Kluyveromyces lactis: one gene and its partner. The protein of the gene in region 1 purifies or fractionates together with the protein of each later gene. This does not show direct contact. Links are inferred from orthologs where the notes say so. Each region holds a gene or a part of one and is shown on either strand. Other genes may lie near its edges. The genes, in order: TFB3 and TFB4.

Evidence for each region.
Region 2: the proteins of TFB3 (region 1) and TFB4 purify together in Saccharomyces cerevisiae (affinity purification with western blotting; 5 studies listed by BioGRID, with this or other methods). This does not show direct contact. The link is inferred for Kluyveromyces lactis from reciprocal best matches to the Saccharomyces cerevisiae genes TFB3 and TFB4.

The regions. Positions count from the first base shown.
Region 1 is NC_006039.1:1,295,928-1,298,975, forward strand, and holds TFB3 (TFIIH/NER complex subunit TFB3), read left to right. Parts: upstream 1-1,414; coding exon 1,415-2,371; downstream 2,372-3,048. Other genes in the region: KLLA0_C14850g (uncharacterized protein), read left to right, coding at 1-1,109; CGI121 (Cgi121p), read right to left, coding at 2,563-3,036. UniProt on the Saccharomyces cerevisiae protein: Acts as a component of the general transcription and DNA repair factor IIH (TFIIH or factor B), which is essential for both basal and activated transcription, and is involved in nucleotide excision repair (NER) of damaged DNA.
Region 2 is NC_006038.1:755,773-758,979, forward strand, and holds TFB4 (TFIIH/NER complex subunit TFB4), read right to left. Parts: upstream 1,800-3,207; coding exon 786-1,799; downstream 1-785. Other genes in the region: BRR1 (Brr1p), read right to left, coding at 1-143; KLLA0_B08547g (uncharacterized protein), read left to right, coding at 375-740; tRNA methylation protein TRM732, read left to right, coding at 2,245-3,207. UniProt on the Saccharomyces cerevisiae protein: Component of the general transcription and DNA repair factor IIH (TFIIH) core complex, which is involved in general and transcription-coupled nucleotide excision repair (NER) of damaged DNA and, when complexed to TFIIK, in RNA transcription by RNA polymerase II.

The DNA of each region.
Region 1 (3,048 bases):
AGAAAGAGAACAACAAGATAAGAGAAGAAATACCAGGAATGTTCCCGCAAAAAATTGTATACCTCAATCACTTTATTGATCCTCCTGAAAAACAGCCAACTTATTTCAATGCGCTTATGAACATGAAATGGATAGTTTCATGGCCAGTGAAATGGAAAGTTGCTTATTTTGTCACCGTACATATTTTGTCGTTCTCAGACGAACAATACACTTTCTCAGGTAAATCTTACGACCTACTGACTAATACCAAATACCTAACTTTATCTGAAGTTGATAGGCTTTTTGGTTGCTATATGACTATTTACGTGATATCAAGAAACATATATGATATTACTTTCTCCATCAGGGAAATCTATGATTATGCATACCAATACTTAATGGAATATGATGAATTGCATCCAATTTTGAGAAAATACTGGAAAGAGCTATTCATATATGGCCTAATGAATGCGATTCTTGTTTCAATAGGAGCTTCTGCCATACATTTATGTTTGGCTCCTGATGGAAATTCTTCTCCGATTTACACCTGCCTCTGGCACATAGGATTTGGTTCTTCCCAGAGAGTTGGATTTGCAGTAATGCTCATAATATTTTATATTGATTTGACACAAGAGGGTTTGAATAGGTTTAAAAAGCAAGCGGATGATCTGAAGGAACAGGAAGATTTGGCACAAAGAAGGGTGAACAAGAATCAGAACGCTAACATTTTCAAAGATAAAAGTACGGTAATGAATTTTTGCAAGAGCAGAGACGTAGATGAAGACATTCTTCTGGAGTCAACCCCGCCTTTGAACCCACCATCAATTTTACATAGCCCCTTGCTCAAAAAGTCCACAAAAGTTGAACAGAACGAATCAATAAAACTGGTTTCTGTATCAAGTGTCGAACACTTTGAAGAAAGCTACGTTCCTCTTCTGAGAGAAAGATTAGATGAAGAAACCAATAAAAGCAGTAAAACAATTCCATCAAAAAATTTTCTACTTAGTACCATGGTAAAGATAATCGTATTTACATCAACCTTCCTTCAGCAACCTGTTAAGACAATGAAGAAGTTAATGCCATATAAAATATACAATTCTGTCAGAAAGGCAATAAACGCCCCAACTTAGCTAATAAAAAATCATATATACACAATATAACCACATTTTGCTCACCAACGCAGTAGGTCTCCTCAGTAAATGCTCCCTTTACTGTCTTCAGTATCATTTGCCTGCCGCATAAGTAATCCTTTTCTCATCATTTTGTGATTTTAGCTGTCTCTGTCATACAATATCATTCAATATCGGTGGTATAAAACAAGAAACCTTTATTTGAAAAGTTGATGATAAATAATGAACAAATTGTAAGGACAATGAATAAGAAATAGATATCAAACTAAATCATCTGGGACTACGAATCAACGTGAATCGTCATCATGGATGAAGATGAGAAGAAGGACATGTGTCCTATCTGTAAAACAGACAGGTATCTATCGCCTGATATGAAGTTTTTGATCAATCCAGAATGCTATCATAAAATTTGTGAATCATGCGTGGATCGTATATTCAGTTTGGGTCCTGCTCAGTGTCCATACGAAGGGTGCGATAAAATTTTGAGAAGAAATAAGTTCAAGACCCAAATCTTTGATGATGTAGGTGTCGAGAAGGAAGTTGATATAAGAAAACGTGTTTTCAATGTGTTTAACAAGACGCTGGAAGATTTCGATAACAACCAAGACGATTATGATAAATACCTAGAAGAAGTGGAAGATATTATATACAACTTAGACCATGGTATTGATATGGAGAAGACCGAGGAGAGGTTACGAACCTACGAAGAATTAAACAAACAGCTAATCATGGCAAATTTAGAGCGGAGCAAACAAGATGTCGCTAACTTCGAACAGAGACAGAAGTTTGAAAAGGAAATGAAGTTAAAGAAAAGACTACTAGAGAAACAGATAGAAGAAGAAGAGAGGGCTAATAGGGAGTGGGCAAAGAGAGAAATTGTCAACCAGCTCACAGTGAATGAAGATGCTGAGGAAGTTATTGAAAATGTGAAAAAGACTGTCAAGCTAAAGAAATCCTCTGCCAGAAGGAAGCTCGAAGAATTAAATAAAGTGTTAAGAAACAATCCTTACATGACAATGACAAATGGTAGAATGAAGAAGAAAGATACTGTACCGTTCACACCATTCAATGGGGACAGGGATTTACACAAAAGATACGAATTGGTTGAAAACGAGTATAATGATTCTTTCATCAGAGACTTACAAAAGAAGAAGGAATATATAGCCTCAGGATTCAGGGCGGACTTCATTTATGATAGAATGTTAACAGAGGCATTCATGGGTCTTGGTTGTATCATTAGCGAAGAATTACAATCCTCTTAGTTGTATCGCGTTGACGGCAAGTGTTGATAACTCTTCGTTTGATACATCTCCTACTTTATTCAATTTGTAATTCTACCGAAAAAAAAAACACATAGTACAATGGTAAAGAGCTCGGTAGCTCTTTATCCTCATCATAATCATATAGCATTTAGGTTAGTAATCTATTCATTATTAAGAGTCTTCTCATTTGTTCATAACTTATCACAAGGAATACATACCGTTTTGATAATTTCTTTATCGGCAGATGTAGAAAACTCATCATCCGAGACTGGAACTAGGTCCCCATCAACGGAAGCATTGCCATCATAGGGTTCTTCATTACTGTCTTCAATGATTTTGATCACAATTATATCAGTTGTTCCTTCCTTTATACCAAATCTGTTCAATGCATCGCCAATGTTCGAACTAGGAGATAGTGATAAAATGCATTCAGAATGGATAGTTCTTGTCCGCATTCTATTGTACTCTGTTTCCAAAATAGCCTTATAGATGGCACTCGACAATTGTTCAACGGATATCACAGTTTTGGAGTCGATGTATGCAAAAGGTAATTCAGCCAATTTGGATCGTAGCTCAGAAGAATTGGTAACATTGTTATACTTCTGAACATGAATAGTATACTCCTGAAACTGAGGAATCTTGTACTTCAAAACTATTCCAGCCATTTGTCTTGTGAT
Region 2 (3,207 bases), on another chromosome or scaffold:
GGTGAATTGCTTAGAGCTTCATTCCTGACATCCAGAAGGTATCTGATCACATTTGGTGAAACACCCTCGTCATTTAATGCAAAAGCACTGTGTTGGCCGAAAACAGGATCCAATGGACCTTGATTAGAATCTACACCAACCATTTGATGGAATCCAATGGCTTATCACTGAACTGGTGGTATGTATTGCCTCCGTTTTCTTTTAGTTATCTCATCTCATCACTCAACTTCAGAACTTTAAGGTTTTGGTCTGTCTTTTCACTATTTGGATCATCAAAATAATCAATAGTGGACAAAAAAACTTTCTTATAACGCTACAACTGGACCGAATGCACTGGAAGGATATGCACTAATGTGCTGTACTCTTAGTCATATATGAGTAAACGGAGATCATCAGAAGAGCATTGCGGGGGATATGAATTAAATGGTAATGCCGTGCTTTGTTCAGACCCACCTTGTGATCATGAATGGGTTCCTATAGAATTGTACCCTAGTCATGTCAGCCAGATGCACGAGAACGTATGTACGCAATGCTTAAGGAACTTTGCTAGTGAGTATTGGATGGAATTACATATCGAAGAATTTCATAATCCGTTCAAGAACGGTAATTACAGGCTAAGATGCCTGGAACAAGATTGTTCGATGACGTTTTCAAATTCAAACGAGAGAATCGATCATTTAAAGAGACACCATTACTATAGTGATCAGTTTGACTTTGATATTTTAAATAGTGGTTGCTGACAGTGATTATATATGTACTTTAAATAGGTATGGAAAACCCCGATGCTATTTATTACTAACATTTTTCTTCTTCGGTACACCATTGCTCAATACAGGCTTTCTTCTGAGTCTGGCGATAATCTTACTGTCAAACGGCGAGTCACAAGCAGGACATTTCTGACCTGGAGGTATCACTGAAAGCACACATAAGCAAACACTACACACAAATCCGACAGCGACCACTTTACCCGTTAGAAAACATGAAGTTCTAAAATCGACAGACCCTTGATTTGGTTTAATTATCACATTTCTCAAAGACGGATCTATAAACATGGCCGTTGATAAATATTGAATTAAACCTCTTGTGTTTTCTACATGTAAGTACACCCCACTAGTGGCATCAGTTGCTTGTTGCAAGAAAGTGCTTTCTATACCCCCACCAATCTTAACCACATCGATGGAACATTTCATTTTGGTTGCCGAGAATATACAGTTCATTATTGGGATATACTGGAATATCTCATCTTTCCCCTGGGATGTACCGCACGTTATCACAAGCAACCGACTTCTCAAGCTTGTATTCTCGTTTTCCTTCAGGATTCTGTTCACGTAAGTTAATGCACTGGACATCGCTCCACTTAAACTACTCTTCATCGAAACCTTACTCTCTTGACCTTCTAATTCTTCCTTGAACAACCTATACCATTGCTCCACCACTATCTCATCCACATTACGGAACCCTCTATACATGTCAGAACTTACCATAGACATACTAGGTTTCGAATCAGCCGATGGATACAAATATTTCATACCCTCGGAGTGTGCAGCAATGAGGCACACCTGGTTTCCTGAATTGAAAGCCAAATGCGCATTCAAAAACACTACGATGGACTTCAACGCCTCTATAAGTTGCTTCTCACCAGAACTTCCTTCCGAACCACTACCAGATTGTTGTTTCGTAAGCTGGACCCATGAATGAATGCTGGTATCAACCACAACAGTGAGAAGAGAAGGCGTATCCTCTATTTCTTGAGTCTTCGATTTGGTTCCTTGGAACACTGTATCAGCGATGGCATCCATTTTAACCGCTTCCTCTTTCAAAGAAAAGGCTATTAATAATAAAAACCTGATTTCACAAAGTTGTATTCGATCCTTTATGGTATATGAAGCGTTTTAATTTAATCTATGGGTCTAGCTTTACTCTACGATTTGATCTTCCTTTAAGATCAGCTTCAACTCTAAATGTGCCTTTCCCAAATTCATGTTACTTGAAATTTCTGGCCGCCCGAAAACATTGGCCCCAAAATGTAGCAGCTTTAACTCGAAAAAAATAATGAACAAGACATCGACACAAGCAAAGAACGAACCGCTGAGAGTCATCTTGTGTTACTGAAAGAGCTGCCATTTGTTTCCTAGTTATCCAGTGAGCAAATATTAAAGGTTACCGGTACTCAAAGCTAATCGTCTTCTGTTTATAATTTTTTTTGATATTCCAACAGGTAGTGTTTGAGAGCGTTTGCATAGCATGACTGTGGATGCTGTAAGCGAATGGAAGCACTGGCTTCTTAAGTATAAGCCAGAGGCCAGCATCACACAGCATGAATGTGATCAGTTTTTATGTTGTTTTGAAGATATTAGTGGTATTCTTGCTGATACTGGGATCAACGATAAAGAAAGAGTGCGGAGTGTTGATGTGATGAGCCTGTTAATGCTAAAGATATACCAAGTTTTAAAGAAAGGTAAGAACAGCGGTAACGACAAACCTAATGAATTTGAGATGACTGTGAAAGAAATTATGTTCAGCATTGATCAGGGGATATTTTTATTTCATTACGTTATTGATTTTTGGACTGACAATACTGTGTCCATGGAGATCCCATTGAGAAATATGTTTGAGAAGCTTTTGCAGCTAATGAACCACTTGTATGGGAGTACACTGATGGAGACGGTGCTTTATGGGTGGGTTGAAACTGTTTTATCATTACAAGAAAATATGAAAGTTCAATATTATTTGTTAGACATCTTCAGTGGTCAGATCGACCTATATGTGATTCTGCGATTGAAACCAAATTTCGTTGAGACTTGTCTCAGTTTGGTCTGGGCGGAAACTCTGTGTACACAAGTTGGAAAGTGTTTATCTAACGTGTTACTAAATTGGTATAAATACCACTTTGATGAATCTTCGATAGAACAATGGTTGTTATTATGGAAGCCTTTATGCTGCCATTATTTGAACGATGCTAAATATACGAAAAAGATTCAACTTTATGTCTTGTCAAATGTTTTCAAGCAGCTTCCAGAAAGTTTTGGCATATTCATAAGAGAACATGAAGGTTTTTCTAATACATTACTGTTATCATTGCTGAAAATCGGACAAGAGTTGGCTATAGAAGAAGAGCCTTTCCATGATGAAAAATATATCAGTCTGGAAGACGTTAGGTGTCTACTGCAACAGGATCAATATAAGCTTCCTACCTTTGAACTACTT